Linked DNA regions of Tamandua tetradactyla. The protein of the gene in region 2 interacts with the protein of the main gene of each other region in a pairwise test. Links are inferred from orthologs where the notes say so. Each region holds a gene or a part of one and is shown on either strand. Other genes may lie near its edges.

Region 1 (9,898 bases), on a different chromosome or scaffold from region 2:
GATAATCTCTTTCTGCTTTCAGCTGGAAAATTACTCTGGATTTTTCCAGAAGGTCTGTGAAAAGGAGGGGGAGAAAATGAAAGAAATTAAAGGTTAGGATGACATACAAGAAAATAGAGGAAAAGAAATGATAAATGAAGCAAGTATATGGTAGATGGAAAAGAAGAGGAAGAGAGAAAGAGACAGTCTCATACAGAAACACTGAATTCACACATGGAGGTAGAGACAGAGATGCAGAAAAGCCCCAGAGAAAGATGTACAGACATGCAGAGACAAAGACGGAGAAAGATTCAGAGGACATCTCTGAGAGAAACATACTCAGACTAAAGAGACTCACACACTTGTAGAGACAGGACAGAAAGAGAGGCAGAGAGACAGAGGAACAGTGAGGAGAGAGAGAGAAAGAGAGAGAAAGAGAAAGAGAGAGAGAGAGAGCCTAGAACTTGAGTGAGCTCAGTCTGAGCCCTAGCAGATCCCCGGTACTCACAGGTCTCTATGTCTGCAGACGCCAGCTTTCCGGTCGCCCCAAAATGGATTCGAATGAATTTCCCCTGGAAAGTTGGAGGAGGGTAGTGATGAGCTGGGGAGGAAAGCCCACATTTGAGGCCATCCCTCAATCAGTCCAAGTCCCAAGGCCAAGGTGGTGAGGGAGCGCTCACAAAGCGGGAGGAGTTGTCGTTCCGCACGGTCTTGGCGTTGCCGAAGGCCTCCAGGGCAGGGTTGGCCTCGATGATCTGGTCCTCCAGGGTGGCTTGCTGTGGTAGGGAAGGGGGCAGGTGAGAGGCCCTCCATCTCCTTTCCTGAAGTGCAGGTCCTTAGAGGACAACAAGCCTACCTTGCCTGTGGTCTGTTCCTTTTTACTGCGGTCCCCAATGGCGGCGATGACAGCAAAGTACTGGATGACCCTCTTGGTGTTGACCGTCTTCCCTGCCCCAGATTCTCCACTGTTGGGACAGTCAGGGGCTTTTTAGGCAGTGGGATAAATACTGCTTGGGACTAACAAGCCTCATGTCTGGAGAGGATTCTGGTCCTGCCTGAGAGCGGGAGATGAAGCAGGAAGCTGCCAGGTCACACAACCTAAAGCACACAGTTGCTTTCAGACCTGTGTCAGGTTGGAGGAGTGACCAGGAAGGCACAAGAAAGCACTGACTTTGGGCATGGGAAGCCTGTGCTTGGCTGGGCAAGATCAGTCAGAGGAGCTGAGCTTGGGGTCGGGCTGGAACGATGCAGAAGGGTTCTGAAGGGAAAGATGAAAGGATGTGAAGACGTAAAGAAGACATGGTGCTGACAGGGTTATGTATAAATGATGAGTTTGACGGGAGAGGAAGAAGGAATGGGGGAGGAAAATAAGAGAGAGAGAAAGCAGAAAGGAAGGGGGAGAATAAAGAGAAGGGTAAGGGTAAAGGTCAGAGGAGAAGATGGGTGAAGGGGGTAGGGACAGTAGTGTAGGTCCATGCACGTGGGCCTGGGATCCCTGAGGGGGTCTGGATCAAGGAGATTCTGGAGGAGAACATGGCAGGAGCTACACTCACGTGATCAGGATGGACTGGTTTTCCCTGTCTGTGGGGAGAAAATGGGAAGGAAAAGTCAGGAGCAGCACAGGATAGTTTCTCACCACCCTACTCCCTGCCTATCTCTAGGCATCTCCCAGCTTCCTGAGTCCCTCGAGGAGGAAGAAGGGAACAAGTGTGAGTTCCCTCCACTGGGACCCTTTCAGGGAAGCTCTTCCCGGGGGTCTCTCACCCGTCAGCATGTACTGGTAGGCGTTGTCGGAGATGGAGAAGATGTGGGGCGGGGCCTCACTCCTCTTCTTGCCCCGGTAGGCGGCCACCACCTCCGCGTTGTACACCGGCAGCCACTTGTAGGGGTTGACGGTGACGCAGAAGAGGCCCGAGTAGGTCTGGGCATAGAAAAGGAAGAGTGAGTTCCAGTGATGAAGGGGGCGGTGTGGTGGTTTTCAGAATTGGGGACAGGAAAGAAAGGACCATCTCCTAAGGCATTAAATCTGAGTGATCCCAGCCTTCAGAGTATTAATATGGAACCATGGGTGTCCCGACTAGGATGAAAGAGCAGTGCTGCCTCCACACAGAGAACAGAAACTCTTGGCTCCAGGAAATGGAAATATGTGGACAAGGAAGCTACTAGATTCAGAGGGATATGCTAAGGGCTGGCACTCACGTAGATCATCCAGGAAGCGTAGCGCTCCTTGAGGTTGTAGAGCACGGCGGGCTCGTGCAGGAAGGTCAGCATGGCCATGTCCTCGATCTTGTCGAACTTGGGTGGGTTCTGCTGCATCACCTGGTCCTCCTTCACGGTCACCGTCTGCAACAGCCCACACAGGCAGTGCTGTCAGCTCATGTTATCCACCCTGAACCTTTCCCTGCTCTCTCAACAGGGATCAGAATGAGGGGTTTCTTAGGGGTAGGAGTAGGGAGAGTTCCAAGCCCCTGGTATTTGAGAGGAGGAATCAGAGTCTCACAGTTGAATGTTGGTAATGAGAAGGGCTGCTGAGGATTTGTAGCCCACCCAAATCAAAGGGAAATTCTTGTTGCACCCATCTCATGCCAGCCCTTCTACCTACCTTGCCACGCTCGGTCTCGGCAGTGACTTTGCCACCCTCTCGAGACATAACCTTGGCCTTGACGAACTCCTCTTTGTCATCAGGCACAAAGACGTCCTTCTTGAGGTCAAAAGGCCTGGTCTGGGCTTCTAGCCGCTCCTTCTCTGACTTACGCAGGTAGGGAGCAGCAGCCCCAAACGCGGCCATCTCCGCATCCCCCATGGCTGTACCTGTAGTGTGCAGGAGAAGAAGCTGGCTGCCCTGTCATCTGCCTACGCTCCTCTTCCCCTCCTTCGTCTCCCACCTTCCATGGAAGCCCCACAACCTAGCATAATGATCAGGAATCAAGAAGGGTCACTGGCAAGCCCCTTGTTCTTTGAGCTTCTGTCACAGGCCGAAGAATGGCCTGGTAAGCCTGTCAGGGTAGAAGGGGCGGCTGACTACTGTTTAGGCTGGGTCTCTCTTAGGGAAGGAAGAATGCCCTGGGCTTCTTGTGGGAGCAGGAATCTGACTCTCTTCCATGCGCAGGTCCTCTTCATTAGACACAGGTAAGGAATCCCTGGTAACTAAGGTTACCTCCCCAGGGCAGGGCAAGAACTAGAGATTCATAGCCTGGCTCTGGGGTTGTCATGCCCAATCTCCCAGATCCTCCCGCACCCCATCTTCAGCTTTCCTTACCTTGGCTTCTCAAATTTGTCTACAGATGAAGAATGGGGCCCAGGCCTACGGGGACCTGGAGAGAGGGAAAGCAGTGTCAGGGCAGGCCATGGCCCCACCAGGCAGTACCATCTCCCTGGCTTTGCCCTCCAGCACCCAATCTTCTTCCCCAGGTCTGAACACAGGTTGGAATTGATGGTCAGCTCCTCCCGTTGCATCCTCTTTCTTGCTTTCCAAACACTCCCCCCTTCCCCACTTCAAGTACCAGTTCTAACAGCCTGAGGGCAACTCTGCTCTGAACCCCTACACTCCTGGGAAATGGTCCCACCCTTGCTTATATCCACTTAGTAAAACTCTCTTCCTTTGAGCCCCCTGAGAACTAAAGGTCGCCTTTGTCTGGTGCTTTTCAATCTACCTGTGCTCTTACAGGATCCTCACCCTATTCTACAAATGAGGCCATGAAGGCCAAGCTGTCTGCTTGCCCAGGAATCCAGGGTGAAGAGCAGCAGAGCCAGGACCAGAGCCAAAGTGCATGACTGCAAAGCCAGTTCTCTTCCATCATGTCCCCATTCTGTTGTTAGACTTTGTGACGTGCTCAGAGACACTGTGGGCATTCTCTCAGATACACCCAGCGCACAGCCGTGTGCCACATGTCCTCTCAAGAACACACATACCCATTACTCATGCCCACAGTCCACAAAAGGACACACTGATTCCTTACACCTGGGCATACACGCATATCTCCACCAGGGTGCCACAGGCCTCCAAAACAGCTGTGCACTTTTAACACAGCAAACCATAAATAGACTGACAGTGATGTATGACTTCAAGAATACAAGGACCTCGGACACCCGCACTCGTGCCTGTGGGCTCCGTTTGCAGGAGCACACACACGGTCACATGCACGCCCCAGGGGCACATTCAAGCACCTCTACCTGCATGCACATGGGTATTTATATATTGCAGATTTTTCACAGAGCCAGCCTTTAAGCACACATGCTTCCTTCTCCTCCCCACCAATGGGCCTGCTGTTCTCAGATATGATCACAACCCCCTATCCTCACCTGGTATCCATCTCTGTGTCTTAGCAGTGAGCACCTGTGCTTGCTTGCTAGCAAACCCCACCCCAACCCCGCGCCGCCACGTTCAGTGTATGCCTGCTGCACACACCTCTGATACATTCTGGCCCTGTATGCTCAGATGCAGACATGCCCTGCCATAACACATGAGTCTCCACATTCCTAGGGTATGTACATGCCTATTTAGGCATGCACACGTGTCCTCCATGACCAGACCTGGCACTCTGCATGCAGCCCTATGTGAAGCCTGCTATGTCCTAGAGGAGCCTCTTCCTAAACCTGGGGCCCCGATCCCAGAGGAAGGCCTTCAGCTCCCCGCTCCTACCTGAGAGCAGCAAGGAAAGAGACACAGAGGGCAGGAGAAAAGGCTGTGGAGCCAGACCTGGTCTCAGGGGCTGTATATATGGGGCAGAGGGCACCCCCACCCCCACCTGCACCCTGTCCCTAGCCGGATTTAGAAAGGGCTGTTGTCACTAGAAGCATTTCCCCCAGCCCCCCTCCTCCCAAACAGCGTTCCCCCTCCCCCCTCTAGGCAGGAAACAATTGGAAGTGGTCGTCATTGTTATGGCATGGAGTATGCAGGGTCTGAGTCCCAGGGGGTGGGGCAGCTCAGAGTGCATCCAAAATATCTCCCAGGCCAGGCCTCACATTCCACAGCCGGTAGGAGAGGGAACTGACCACCACCACCATGAACTCGGGCAGGCAGGGCCCCGTGCCTCCAGTAGGGCTTCCCTGACCTGACCCTGCTGGCCCCAGGGCCCCCTGCCCCCAGTGCTGGTCTGGCCTGACTTCCCCAGTGTCCTTCCTGCGCTCCCGCTCCCGGGCTAGGCCCTGTACCCAGCTGTGAGATAGGAAGGGGCTGATTGTCAGCAGCACAGAGGGATGAGCGGAGTCGCAGGCATGGCCCCACGGTGGGGGGCTAGATTGGGGCTACTGGAAGGAGACGTCCCAGCCAAGCGTCAAGAACCAGTGGCTCTGGCAGTGATTTCCTTGGACAAGGCAGGCGATGAGCTGAGGTCACCGAGTCTTAGAGTCAGACTGGCTTTTAGTGATCGGTCCAACCCCATCATTTCATGGAGAGGGGAAATGCCTTGCTTGAGGTCATATGGCTATTCAGGGCAGCAAGATTCAAGGGAGGAAACCTCAGCAAGCAGAGATGGAGTGCCAGCTTACGGAGGGGGAGGCAAGGGAAGGAAGGCTGGGATTCCAAGCAGGCGACGACCCATTGTGCATGGAAGGCAGGGCCTAGTTGCCCAGAGGGAACCCCAGTTTAGAGCCCTTTGCCTGACCTGTTTCTGTAGCCCTGCCCTGAAGGCACTAAAAGCCCTAGCCAGAACCAGACATTCTGAGCTGTAGATAACGCAGCTGCTCTGAGCTAGAAGACAACCCCTAACCAAGATGGCAATGCCTAGCCCACCTGCCCCCTGGGGTTCTGCAGGGCAACCTCTGTCCAGACCTGGAGGACACTGGTGCTCTGGCAAGTGGGGCAGAGGGAGAGGAAAGGTTTCCCCTTTCCTTCAAGCCTTAGAGGCAGCCACACGGCTCCTAAGGTGAGGAAAGGCAGCTGGGGCTCAGGCTCTGAGCCAGCAGTGGGGTGTGCGAGAACAACTAGCCCTGTGTCCAGGCAACCACTGTGTGGCGTGGTTTAAATCCCTCCTCCTTTCCCAAACATAGCGCTTCAGCGCACGTGGGTTAATACATCTGATTAGCTGGAAGGGAAGAGGCAGGCCTGGGGGATGGGGTACAGAGTTGGTACATTTTGAATGAGGGGTGAGCACAGCAGGGAAGGGCAAGTCCAGGTGGGGCCTGGATCCGTGGGGGCTGCTTGGTAACCATGGCACAAGCTGAGGACATCGGGCAGCCGGTGGGGGCGACAGCAAGGAGCCGCGGGCGCTGTGGCTGATGCAGTCACGTGGCAATGCTGAGGTCCGCAAGTGCTGAGGCGGCCCCAGTGGGCCCTGCTGCTCACCTGGCCAGCAGAACACAGGCTGGAGGCCCCAACAAGGCCCTGCCAGGTGCCGAGGAGTGAGGCCTAGGGGCCTCAGAGATCGGCAATGAAGGGGAAAAAAACATCTCTTTTCATCCACCCTTTCCAGTTTTCCAAGCATGGGGCTTCTGCTCTTCCTTGATTTCCCAGGGCTCAGGCTGAGATGCAGACGATTGAGATGCACAAAGGTGCTGCTTGAGACAGAGCTGGGCTATTTCAAAGCCAGCGTCTCCACTACAGGCCAACCTCCTTGGCTGTGGAGTGGGGAAGACTTCTCTCCATGTAGTGGAACTAATCACACTCTGTTACCCTCTTTTCGGGGTCAGGGGGCATTGGCCTACTGGTGTTATGGTGTTACTGTTCTCCAGTCCCTGATGCAGACTAGAAACCACCCTCCTGCCTCTAGGCTTGCTGCCTCACGTCTCAGACACACGGGAGGGTGTGATGTCCAAAGGTCCCCCACTCGTTCCCCGGTCCCTCCGGCATGGATCTCAGCTGCAGCATGATGCGCTTCCTTCTGCAGCTGCCACCTGAGGACTGTGCGGCTTTGCTGAATTTGTTCATTCAAGAAACATTTATTGAGTGCTTACTGGTGCCAGGCGTCATTCTAGTCAGTGTGGATGGAGTGACTGAAAGAAAGATCCCTCCCTGGGGCGGCTCTGTTCTCGTTGCAGAAGTGAAATTCTGGGCTCAGTGTGCAGCTGGTGGCTTTGCACACACACATTCCTAGTGGGGAGAACCTGAGCGAGGGGCGACGGGTGGGGCTGGGGAGGGGGCCGTGCAGCGCAAACTACAGAGTGGGAGCAGACAAGACAAAGGAGGGCAGAGCAGAATGCTATAAATAAAAAGGAGAGGGGGTGCGGAGGGGGGGAGCAACTTCACCAAGGTAGACCAAATAAGGTCTGGAGTGGAAGGAAGGTGATCTGTCTCCTCTCCTGTCTCTACCCCCACCCCCTCTGGCATTGGGCCTGCTTTGTCTGGACTCTGTCACCACCCTAATCAAGTGTCAGGCCAAAACAAGGGCCATTTGCTGTGAACATGCCAGTGGAAGGCCAGAGGAAAAGTTGCTAAAATTACTACCGGGAATGGAGGAGGGGCCATCAGAAGAGACTTGAGCCTGGAGAGGGGGAGATCACAAAGGGGCCCCCAAATCCAAAAGGAAGGGGCAGAGATGAGACAGAAAGAGGTGGGGGCTGTGGTCCAGGAAGAGGAATGAGGCACCAGTTGTTTGCACACAGGGAGGGGAGCTCTCCCACCTGCCCACGCCTAGAATCCCTGACCTTGGGGGCCCCTACCCTGGCTCCACACGAGCCTGGGATTAAAGAGCCCAGCTTTGTGCTGTATCAGGTTTCCCTTCACAAGCAGCTGCTTCTTCTTGTCATTCTTTTGTCTTCCTGCTGGCTCCACAGTCTTTTGTACCTCTAAACGCCCCACCCTTTACCGGCAAGTCTCGAGGGCAATTGGAAAGAAGGGGTGGGAGGAAGAGGGCTGAGTGTGGGGCTTGCCCAGTTTAGGTTTGGGGTGGTTTGGGAAAGTAGATCCTGCCTTCAGTGAACGTTTGGAATGGAACAACTCAGGCAAAGGGAGACTTTGTGGGGAGTGGATGGTCTGGCTTTCAGGGCTGGAGGCCTCAGGGGGCACAGGAGGGGCAGCCTGGGGACACAAGTTTCAGAGTCAGTCACAAAGAATCCACTCCAAACCCAGGTCCTCCACGTTCTAGCTGTGTGGTCTAGGTCAGGCACGGAGCCTCTCTGAATCAGTTTTGTCATTTATAATATGGGGATAGTCATGTTTCCCTTCTAGGGTCATCAAAGGTAGCAAAAGTAAAAGGTCTAGCACGGCACCAGACATGTAGCAGGCTCTCACTAAATGACAGCTTTTATCGTTAGGAACACAAGCTTGAGGAGCCAGGACTGCAGACAGGCAGGGCCAGCTACCCTGCTTTAGGTTCTTTGCCACCCCCAACCCTCCACCATCTCTGCCAATACCACCAAGACAACTCATTTAAGTGGTGTTCTGGGCCAGGGTGGACCAGGGCATCCAGCAGCCTGTGTCTCTACAGCCTGCATTGTGCTTACCTTTGGAAACATCATGGCTAGAGAGGTCAAGGTCCTCAGGCCACTCTTGACATTCTTGACTTAAGCTCTGAGACTGGGAGACAGCAGCCCTAACTGCTGCCCATTGAACTTGCCCTTATGACCAGCCAATGTGCTAAGCTGAGGCCCATGAAGAATTGGCCCAGGTCAAATAGATCCATTCGCCAAGGGCCCCTGATGAAAGCATCAGCTATATATGTACATATTTTAACATCCTGGACTGAAGATCTCAGGGGTCCTGGGCACACAGAGCTGCCTGGTGGAGCTGGGTTGGCCCTAGGGCCTGGGAGTTGGGTTGCAGAGGGGAGGTACACTAAACTGGGGCCTTCAGGAGGCAGGAGGAACCAGCCCTGGGCTGAGCAGTGTTCCTTCAGCAGTCTCAACCACCCCCTGCATTGGAGCTAGTAGGGGCTGGAAACCTCTGGAAGGAGAATGGTCAGGGCATCGTGAAGTGAAATAACCAGAATAAATAAACTGAAAAGCAGCATCCTGAAGTCATTTCCTGGATACTTTGGTGTTCAGACCCAGAGTTCTGTACTCTGCTCTATGTCGGGCTCCAGTTAGGACCTACTCCAGGTTCTCTGCTCTGTTCATAGGCAACTTTGGGGTAGTATCCTGTGGTCACCATGCCTGGATCAGCACAGAGTACGGAGAGATCATTGGATTTGCTAGGAGTGGAGATGAATGCTTCTTGAGGGTCTAAGAGGCTGGGTAATAAGCAGTCCCCTTTCCAAGGGGAGGAGGGACTCTATACTTCATTCCTCATGCCAGAGGTGCCCTCTCTTAAGCCGGCCTCCCTGGAACCATTACCTGTTTCCCAACTGTCTACTCTGACACATAAATGTAGGTGAATGCACACAAACACACATGTTACATGCATTATACACATGTGCATAGGTATACATCTCTGCACACGCATGCATGACATGAAGTCTGAGCCAAAGTCAGTAGCCAGTGTTAAGATAGAACATTAGTATTTGATCAGCCTGCCAGGGGTGTCTCCTTCCCAGTTTCTAGTCCAGCTCAGCCTGTTTCATTCTCCCTTTATTCTCCAGTGGGTCCCAGTCAGTCAGTAAGTCAGTCAGTCTTAGTCAATGCCTTACTGTGGCCCCTGCTGTATGCTCAGCTCCATGGGGGCCACAGGAGGGTCACATGGCCTCTGGCTCACCAGCACTCCCATCTTCTAGTGTGGCTACTAGAACACACTGGAAACCAAAGGAGAATGGTTCAGGGCTGAATAAGTGTCCAGATCTGGAACAACCAAAGGGCAGAGAAGTTCTTGCTTAATGTGGGCTTGAATAATTGAAGGTTTCAAGGTGGAGGGCTTGCAATCCAATCTAAAAGGAAAGGCAGGGCTTTGAGAAACTGTGGGAGTTGAGACGTGTCCTAGGTGGTGCAAATTACAGCATGACCGAAGGCATGGTGGGGGAATGGTGGGCAACTCTTCTGCCTGGTCAGAGTATGGGGAGTCTGGAGATATAAGATGGGAGGAGAAAGAGTTGCAGCCACATTGTAAGGG
Region 2 (9,544 bases):
GTGGGGCAGCCGCAGCTGGGCAGGGGTCCCAGGCCAGGCCTGAGAGCCAAGGGGTCTAGGGCTCACGAGAGGGGCTGGGCCCAGAGGAGCTCCAGGTGCCGGGATCGGCGGACACTCACCGAGGGGTCCGGAAGCTGCTGCTCCAGGCGGGGCGGGAGGAGCAGTGCACTCATTAGAGGCCTGGGCCCTGCCGGGACGCCCCCGCCCGGTGCCCCCATCTGCCCACACGGCGCCCCCGCGATGAGCACAGCCCCTCCTGAGCTTGGAAGGTGGGCTTGGGGGGACCCGAGAGCCAGACACCCACACGGGTGGCCACCCCAGGACTGCCTGCTTCCTGGGCCCAGCTCTCTGCACCTGCCCAGTGCCTGCAGCCCCCAAGCCCCCAGACCCCATTTCTTACTCTCTGGGAGGCAGCAGCAGCAGTGTGGAGGGAAGGGAGGAGAAGAGGGGAAGCAAAGTCAGTGGGTGGGCCGGGCCCCGCCTGGGCTGAGACTTGCCCCCAAGCTGCGCCCAGGCACCCACCTCTTCCTGAGCAGTGAGCTGAAGTCCAGAGTCCCTGCATCGTCGTGGCCTTCGCTGCAGAGAGACATCCCCCCCCCCCACCGCCATCGCCAGTGAGGCCGCGGTGGGGCCCGTGAGGGGCGGGAGCATTGGGGGAACTGGGGGCGGGGGAGAGGGTAGGTGGGGCCTCCGGGGCTTGGGGGGAGCCAGGAAGGGGTACCTGGTGCACCGACCACCTCCGGCCACGCTCCTGTCGGGGGTAGACGTGGTGTCTTCTCCTGCCAGGGGGGGTGTCACCTCCACCCCCGCTGGCCCCCGCTCCCCCCCATCCTCCCCCAACCCCAAGGAGAGTCCCCACAGCCACTCACGTGCGGCGGAAAGCTGACCGGAGGTCCAGGTCCCCAGGCCCTATGGCCTCTGGGTTCAGAGGGGAAGGACTTCAGCGGCGGCTTCCCAGGGACCCTGCCCTGGCCCCTCCAAGAGTCTGCAGGGCTCTCCCCAGGCCACGCTCCGGCCTGTACCAGGGCCAGGGCCCTGGGGCAGTGGGTCAGCCTGGGGTCCCCACTTCCCTTCCAGGCGGGGGCCTCCCACCCAACCTGCTCGCCAGACACCCAGACGCTGCTGGGCCCGGCCAGGAGCAGGGACACACGGGCGATGCAATGTCCCACCCTGCCACCAGGCGCCCGCCCGTCCTGAGGCGGGACGGAGCCCGGGCCCTGCGCCCTCACCGTGGACCGTGAGGCTGAAGTTGCAGCTGTCAAACTTGTCCTTGGTGGCCACCTCGCAGCGGTAGCCGCCGGCTGAGGATGGCTGGGCATCGGTGATGTGCAGCTCGAACAGGTAGGCCTGGGGGAGGCAGGGGCTGGGGCGCCGGCGGCCAGGAGGTTTCTCCCCACCCCCCACCCAACCTCTGCACGCTGCGCACAGGAGAAAGGGGGTCCCACTCGGGGGCCAGCAGGGCGGGCGGTCAGGGGCCCGGGCTCCAGGCCGCACCCCCGTGGGCTCCCGCCTCTCGCTTACCTCGTGCCTGTGGTGACGGACGTTCTGCTGGATCCCTGAGGGCCCCTTGAGCCCTGCCCCCCACCCCCCAGGGCTGTGTTCTGGGCTCTCCACACCGTCCTGTCCCCCCGCCATCCCCTGCACCCCTGCCCCCAGCCACCCCCCTGTCCTGCAGCCCGTGCCCCTCCCCAGGCCACCCCTGTGCCAGGCCCACCTTGCTGGCGCGGTCATAGCTGTCGCGTAGCTGCAGGTGCTGGCCCACCTTGCTGCTCAGGTCCACCCACTTGCCCTTGAACCACTTGACCACAGGTGGTTTCAGGAGGCTGGCCCCAGCCACGCGGGCTGAGAAGGTGATGCTGCCGCCTGCGGGGAGGGGGCCCAGCTGCCGTGGGGGGCCCGGCGGGCATGGGGGCGTCTGGCTGCCTCCCTCCCCGCCACACCCTTGGGTGCAGCTGCCCAGCACTCACCCGCGGTCACCTCACCATCCTGAGGCCGCATCACAAACAGGCCAATGGGGTCATCGGGGGTGCTGGGGCATCCAGGGGCAGGGCTCTCGGGGGCAGCCGAACTTGACCCTGTGAGCAGAGGCCTCTGGGACCTGCCCTGGGACATCCTGCAGCCGGTCCTGCCCTCCCTGCAGCCCCCTCACCTTCAGGCCTTGCAGAGCTTCCTTCCGGCTCAGCAGCCGGGGCCAATGCCCCCCCCGGGGCTCCCGGGGCCTCAGTAGCAGCTGGGGCGATCTCTGCCGTCTCTGGAGGGGAGCAAGTGGGGAGCAGCTCCTAGCCAGAGACCACCCCACACCCTTCGGCCCTGCCCCAGTCTCTGCAGGCTCCTCCAGAGTAGACAGGGCTTCATCTGTCCCTCCCCTTTCCTCCTTCCCCTCCATGACACTTCTCACCCCTTGCTAGCTCCCTCCCCTCCTCTCTCCTCCCGTCCTCTCCTCCTCCTCCCCTCCTCCTCCCCCTTTTCCTCCTCCCCTCCTCCCCTCCTCCTCCCCCTTTTCCTCCTCCCCTCCTCCCCTCCTCCTCCCCCTTTTCCTCCTCCCCTCCTCCCCTCCTCCTCCCCCTCTCCTATCCTCCCCTCCTCCCGAGCACCAGGCCAGGCCTCTCCTGCAGATGATGTCCCATGCTGGGCTCCTGTCCCTGCTGCGTCATCTGGGGGGGGGGGGCGGGGAGCTGCCGGCCCCTGGCTTCCCTTGCCGTTGTCTACCCTCACCCACTGCAGGTCTGCCCTGAGCAGCTCCGGGGTCCGTCTGTCCCTTCCTTCCCTCATGAGGCTGCAGCCTCATCCAGCTCCCTAGCTGGAAGCTCCACCACAGGCTACCAGGGGCTTCCCTGCTGGCCTGAGGCCGGTTCCCATGGGGCCCCCAGAGGCGGCTTGTGCCCTTGTGCCTGGTCCTCCCTGCAGTGGGTCCTCCCCCGGGGGCATGCCCAAGCCAGGAGCCCTGGGGTGCTCAGAGCGGCTGGGCCACAGAGAACAGGGGCCCGCACCCTGCAGGGGGGAGGTGGCACTGCCCTTGTGCCGGGAGGTCGACCTCAGGGACGGGTCTGCCCTTACCCGCCTCTGTGACCTTGAGGTCAAACTTGACCTTGGAGGAGCCGGCGATGACCGTGTAAGGGCCCTGGTCGGCGGGACCCACGTCCCGCACTGCCAGCGTGTGCTTCGTGCCCTCGGTGGCCAGGCTGTACTTGTCGCCCGTGCTGATGTCACTGCCTGCCCGCTGCCAGCGCACTTTCAGGCCCGCCCGCTCTGTCTCGGCCTCGAACACGGCAGTGCCGCCCGCAGCCACCTCCGCTGACTGGGGCTTCTTGCTGAAGGCCGAGGCTGAGGCCCAGACGGGGCTGAGGGACGCCCGGACCCCCCCCCCCCCCCACCGGCCCCCACCAAGCCTGGGGAGAGGCCCTGGGCACGCGTCCCCCCATTTAATGCTCCTTCAGCTCCAGGAGGGGGGCAGCGCTTAGGTCCCTTTCCCAGATGAGGACATGAGGCTCAGAGGGGTTAAGGGGCTTGCCCAAGGTTACACAGCCAGTAGGCGGGAGAGCTGGGGGTGTGGTCTGGACCCCCCACAGGCCAGTCTGGGTCCCCAGGCAGGGGCAGGTGCTCAGGCTGCTTGGAGTATGGCTAAATTTATCCTCCAAGGGCCTGGGGCTGAGAGTCAGCAACTGAGATAAAAAGTTGGCCTGGGGTGGGGAGGGGTGGGACACAGGGTGCCTGCCCCAGTGCCCTTGGTGGGGGCACAGGCCGGGACCAGGACCTGGGAGGTTGGGGGCCCTGTTCTACCCTCAGCCGGGGGCTCCTGGGGCCCCATGACCATCAGCCCAGAGTGGGGGCCATGCCCAGTGTGGAGGTCACAGGGCTGCAGAGGGAACTGCTTAGCTGGAAGGAGGCTTGCGGGCCTCCGCCCATCCCCTCCTTGTCCAGATGGGAAAACTGAGACCCAGAGAAGGGGGGAACCCTCCCGCCCGCAGCAGCCTTTCCCACCAGGCCAGGCCTCCCTCCTGAAAAAGGTCCCAGATGGGGGAGGGCACCCTGGGACTCAACTCCCCTCTCTGTGCTCCAGCCCTGGGTCCAGCCTCACCGTCCCCTGAAGCAGGAAGGGACCTGAGCCTCAGGAAGGGGCCCGAGGCCTGTCGAGTGTTGCATTCCCCACCTCCTCGGGAGCCAGCTCCTAGCCCTGCCCCCCAAATGCAGACACCCCACCCTCCCTGCACCCCACTCGAGCCCAACCCCGGCCTGGAGCTACCTGGCTTCTTCCCTGGTTCCGGCATCTTGGGAGCGACCACAGCAGGCACCGAACAGTCCCAGGCTGTTCGCAGAGGGATGGCGGGCAGCCCCCGCTATATAACGGCCCCGTCACACTCCCTCCCCCGGTCTCCTTATCAGCCTCCGAGCAGCCTCCCGCTAAATATAGACAAATTCCAGGGAGCCCAGGTCTCTCTCGGGGTGGAGAGGGCAGTGGGAGGGTCTGGGCCATTGTTCCTTTCCTCTTCCCCTCCCCCAACACAAATAGGACAGCTTCTGTACCCCAATCCTCAGTGCCCTCAGGGGTACCCAAGCCCAGTCTGTGTGACTATCTGACAGGCAAATTGAAGGTGGAAAGTGGGCTGGACCTTAACCCTGAGGCCGGCAGGTGGCTGTGTGACTTGCCAGGCAGTGAGGGGCCGGGTGGGACAGTGGGGGGCCAGGTGGGACAGTGGGGGGACCGGGCGGGACAGTGGGGTCTGGGTGGGGCAGTGGCAGGGGTGGGGGGAGGGGGTCTGGATGGGGCAGTACCAGACCAGATGGGGCAATGTGGGGCCGGGTGGGGTAGTGGGGGGGCAGTTGGGGGCTGGATGGGGCAGTGGGGGCCAGTGGGGGACCGGGTGGGACCGGGCGGGGCCGCACTGGGCTTTGTGGGGCAGTGGGTTGGGTTGCCCATGGCTGGCACGTGCCCTGAGGTGGGCAGCCCCCGAGCCTGGCTCTGCAGTCCCCAGCCTGATGCCCGTCTGCTTCACCTGTAAAGCGGGGCTGGATTGCCAGCCGGTGTGGGCAGCTCCTCCGGTTGGGAGATTGGAGATGAAGGTGCCCGCAAGGCACTGGGCTGGAGAGGGGGCAACACTGCAGGCGGGTGAGGCCGGGGCGACTCTCTGAGTTGAGCTGAGCCCCTGGGTGTCCCCAATCTGTGGTCCACCCTCCAACGGGGCCCCCAACCCTACTCCACGCGGAGAGAGGCGTGTCCCACGTGACTCATCCAAGCGAGACCGGGGACCAGAGAGCAGCCCCCGCGTGGGGGCGGGTACGTGAGGTGTGGGGGTGCTGCAGGTGGCCGGGCTGCTCCTGCCCGTGGGCAGCCACCTTCGGCCCCCCGCGTTGGGGGCCTGCCCTGACTTGGGGGCTGAGCAGAGCGGCCCTCTAGGGGCCCGGGGCCGGGGGGCCCTGTCGCTGCCGGGCCTGCCCGTTGTGGCCTGTGACCCCCTGGTGGGGGCGCTGGGTGGGGCGCGGGGAGCTGCCACCCGCGCCCTGGGGGGCCTGTTGGGCGCTGCAGCTGGGATGGGCCCCCCCGAGGCTGTGTGGGGGGGGAAAAGTCGGGAAAGCCCAGGCGGCCGGAGACATGCGCCGGCCAGGTCGGGGGGCTTTGCGACCCCCAGCGGCGGGAGGAGCCCCGGGGGCGGAAGGGACGGGCCGCCGAGCGCCATGTTGTCCACGCGGCCGGGGAGGCCCCGCCGCCGCCTTCCTGGGCGTCCCCGCGGCTGCGAGCTGAGCGGGAGCCGGAGCCGGAGCCGCCCCACGGCCGCCAACCCGGCGCCTCCTGTCCGGGGCCCGGGGTTCCAGCATGGCCGCCCGCTGGCAGCGTGATCTTGGCCGAAGCATCTGATCTCTGCCTGCCTCCGTTTCTCCCACTGCGCGGTGCGGCCTCATCAGCATCCGCCTCACACCATGGAAAGTGCAGCGACGCTGCGGCCATCGTCACCCGGGTGACGGGCTCCAGCCCCCGAGGGCTGCTAACCACGACTCATACAGTAGGGAGCGAGGGCTCCTGCTTCCCAGTAGGCACGCCCGGGCCTGGGTTCCGCCCCACGCCGGGCCCCAGGGGGCCCCCTATCCCCCAGGCCTGGACCCCCGGGCCCCAGTGGGCCCCCTATCCCCCAGGCCTGGTCCCCCCGGGCCCCAGGGGGCCCCCTCCCCCCAGGCCTGGACCCCCGGGCCCCAGGGGGCCCCCTCCCCCCAGGCCTGGTCCCCCAGGGCCCCAGTGGGCCCCCTCCCCCCAGGCCTGGACCCCCCGGGCCCCAGTGAGCCCCCTATCCCCCAGGCCTGGACCCCCGGGCCCCAGGGGGCCCCCTCCCCCCAGGCCTGGACCCCCGGGCCCCAGGGGGCCCCCTCCCCCCAGGCCTGGTCCCCCAGGGCCCCAGTGGGCCCCCTCCCCCCAGGCCTGGACCCCCCGGGCCCCAGTGAGCCCCCTATCCACCAGGCCTGGACCCCCGGGCCCCAGGGGGCCCCCTCCCCCCAGGCCTGGACCCCCCGGGCCCCAGTGAGCCCCCTATCCCCCAGGCCTGGACCCCCGGGCCCCAGTGGGCCCCCTCCCCCGAGGCCTGGTCCCCCACCTCCCCCCCCCCCCCCCCCACCCCGGGCCCGGCGGCGCACAGGACGCTGAGGCGGGCGAGGCGGCGGCGGGCTTTATAACAACGCTGCGCGGGGCTGGCTGAGAGTCCCGGCGGTCACTCGCGAGCCCTGCGGGGGCAGGTGGGCAGCCCGGGGGGGCTTCGAAGGGACCATTCGGTGTCCACGGGGCCGAGGCGGGGCCGCCCGATCCCGCGCCCGGGGCTGGTCCCGGCGGGCGGGGCGGGCGGGGCGGGGCCGGGGGGCTGCCGGGGCCCGCGCCCCTCCCCGTGTCCGGCGGGCGAGGGGTTAATGCTGTGGCCGGGGCGGCGGGCGGCCGCGCTCAGTGCGGGGGATGGCGGCGCTCGGCCAGGCCGCGGCCCAGCACCTCGCCGCTGAACTGGTAGGTGAGCTTCTTCTTGACCTTCTTCACCTCCCCGGTCTTGCCGTAGTTGCGCAGCGCGCGCGCCATCTTCTGGTACGTCATCTTCTTGCGGTTGCCCTTCTGCACGCCCCAGCGGTTGGCCAGCTCCTCCTTGTGCTTGGACGAGAACTGGAAGGTGCCCTTGTCCTTGTCCACCCACCAGATGCTGTCCTTCATGTCGCCGCTGCGCAGCAGGTCCAGCAGGAACTGGTACAGGCGAATCTTCTTCTTGCTGCCTGCGGGGAGCAGCGCGGGCGGGCTGGGGGGCCGGGCCCGGGACCCTCCGCCCCTCCCCCCTGCCGGCCCCCTGGGGTAGGACGGGGCGCGCCCCCCCCCGCGGGTTCAGCCCACACACACAGCACAGACGCGCATGCATGCTCACACACACACACTCGCGCGCGCACACACGGCCCATGAGGACACGCTGGGAACTTGTGGGGACCCCTTGGCACATATCACATGCCGCCTCCCCTCCACCCCCCAGGCACCGTGCCCCTCGGCCTGCTGGACCTACCTGTCTCCCCGTGCAGGAGGCCAGGCCCTGGCTCCAGGCCATCAGCCTCCCCGTCGGATACCTCCAGTGGGGGGCTCTGCCGCTCACCCTCCTCCTCATCGGAGCTGGGCTGGGCCGGCGAAAGGGAGGGGTATGGGAGGCACATCCGGGGCAGGTAGGAGACCTGGGCAAGTGAGGGCAAGTGGGCTGAGGTCGGTAAGGGGCAGTTCAGAGATCAGGGCTGTGGGCAGCACTGAGGCTGGGTGGTCAGCAGAGGGCAGAAAGACTAAGGGGAGGCAGGGAAAGCTGGACGTCGCTCAGGTCAGCAGAGGCGACCAGGCCCCCCATGCACAGGGGTGCAGACTGTGCACTGCACAAGGGCGTGCAGGTCCTCGGCACTCACCAAGCTGAGCTTCCTGCTGAGTGGATGAGCGGGTTCCAGGGGCTGGGAGCAGGAGGGCTCAGGGGCCAGTGGGTTGGGTTAGGACTGGACAGACTTTAGTAAGTGGCGGGAAGAGTGAGTGAAGGACGCAGTGAGGTCAGCGAAGGCTTGTAGGGGTCAGTAGAGGTTACTGATGGGGACAGAGTCCATGGGGCCAAGTAGGGTCATCAAAGGGGTCAGTGTGGAAAGTAAAGGGTGAGGAGAGCCCAGCACTCAGCACCCTGGACACCACACCCTTGGGGGCGCCCATCGATGGAGGCTGCTGGCTGGGAGGGGCAGAGCCATGGGGACTGCCTGGAGCCTGGCCACCCGTGGGCCGAGAGCTGATGAGGGGTGTGGGATCGCCAGGCCGGCCGGAGGGTCCCAAGGCCGCTGGGGGGGGGGGGGGGGCAAGAAGCAGTGTGGGGCACGAGCGCGCCGGCTCCTGTGTGCCCTTGGCCTGGGCGGGGCAGAGCTGCGCACCTGGTGGCTGAGAGTGGCATGGGGCGGGGCCATGGGCGCGTCCAGCACGTGCATCTGCTCCAGCTCCATGTGGCGGTAGAGCTGCTGCAGCTGGGGGGGCTGCACGCTCTGCAGCTCCGTGAAGTGGTTCTCGGGGAAGCTCTCGAACTCGCTGTGCACATGGTGGGGGTGGAAGTCCCAGTAATGGTCTGCGGGGGGCAGCAGGGGGCGCAGTGAGGCCGGGGCGGGGGTGGGGGTGGGGGTGGAGGCAGCGATAATGAGACACAGTGCCACGCGGGGCCCTCACGGGGCCAGGCCGGGCGACGCGCCTGCCTGCCGACCTCACTCAGCGTACACCCCATCTTGGGAAGTGGGCGCCCCGCTTCATAGATGACCTGAGGCCTGGGGAGGCCGCAGAACGTGCCCAAGGGGCCCAGGTCCGAGGCCTATTGCCCACATGGCTGCAGGGGCGCAGACTCGGGCCCCCCGCTGGCCTGCTGGGGTGGCTGACCCTCCTAGGACATGGGGCTAGCGGTTACTGGAGGATGTGCATGAACTCGCGCCTGTGGAAACTTCCAGCAGGGACCCGGCCACTGCCTGCCCTCGCCTGGTGCTGCCCACCATCCCGAGCTGCTTGCCGTCCACAGGCGCAGGGGCGTGTGGCCTCCTCCCGTGGCTGGGGTGGGCCATGGCGGTGCCCGGGCGCCAGCGAGGTCCCTGGGATGTGAGTCCTTCCTGGAAATTCCCCTGCAGCGGTGCTTCCGGCCTGTGGCGGAGTGGCTTAGGGCTGGAGCCACATGCCATGTCCTCTCGTGATGAGGGCAGGGCCTGAACGTGGGTTTCTGGGCACCTTTTCCAGGAACAAAAACTAACGCGTGTCTGAAGCCTTCCTGGGTCCCCAAGCGGTGTGATGGCGAGATGACACTTGGGGTTTCCTCAAGTGGCCTGAAGAGGGAGTGCACAGACAGACATACACCCACGAGGCCAGGCCCTGCGGGCTGCCCCTCACCGGCCCGGGGCATGAGCGTGTGCCTGTGTGCATCTCTCCTTCCTTTCCTTGCACAAACACTTCTCACTTTTTTTTAGCTCAAGGCTGGAAAGCAAAGGACTTGTGTTCTAACTCTGCCCCCGTGGTGGCTCTGCTGTGTGACCCTGGGCAAGACACTTT

What was found.
Region 1: the proteins of MYBPC3 (region 2) and myosin-7 interact in a two-hybrid assay, tested with the Homo sapiens proteins (2 studies listed by IntAct). The link is inferred for Tamandua tetradactyla from reciprocal best matches to the Homo sapiens genes MYBPC3 and MYH7.

Annotation. Positions count from the first base shown.
Region 1 is NC_135340.1:31,456,216-31,466,113, reverse strand, and holds the start of myosin-7, read right to left. Parts: upstream 4,730-9,898; 5' UTR 4,622-4,729; intron 3,294-4,621; 5' UTR 3,239-3,293; intron 2,791-3,238; 5' UTR 2,783-2,790; coding exon 2,582-2,782; intron 2,323-2,581; coding exon 2,179-2,322; intron 1,901-2,178; coding exon 1,744-1,900; intron 1,561-1,743; coding exon 1,533-1,560; intron 945-1,532; coding exon 836-944; intron 756-835; coding exon 660-755; intron 552-659; coding exon 488-551; intron 55-487; coding exon 1-54. UniProt on the Homo sapiens protein: Myosins are actin-based motor molecules with ATPase activity essential for muscle contraction. Forms regular bipolar thick filaments that, together with actin thin filaments, constitute the fundamental contractile unit of skeletal and cardiac muscle.
Region 2 is NC_135334.1:124,085,819-124,095,362, forward strand, and holds the start of MYBPC3 (myosin-binding protein C, cardiac-type), read right to left. Parts: upstream 4,381-9,544; 5' UTR 4,269-4,380; coding exon 4,244-4,268; intron 3,325-4,243; coding exon 3,058-3,324; intron 2,252-3,057; coding exon 2,150-2,251; intron 2,076-2,149; coding exon 1,968-2,075; intron 1,864-1,967; coding exon 1,715-1,863; intron 1,348-1,714; coding exon 1,230-1,347; intron 919-1,229; coding exon 870-918; intron 752-869; coding exon 722-751; intron 577-721; coding exon 523-576; intron 141-522; coding exon 120-140; intron 1-119. Other genes in the region: SPI1 (transcription factor PU.1), read right to left, coding at 6,920-7,236, 7,515-7,677, 8,398-8,585. UniProt on the Homo sapiens protein: Thick filament-associated protein located in the crossbridge region of vertebrate striated muscle a bands. In vitro it binds MHC, F-actin and native thin filaments, and modifies the activity of actin-activated myosin ATPase.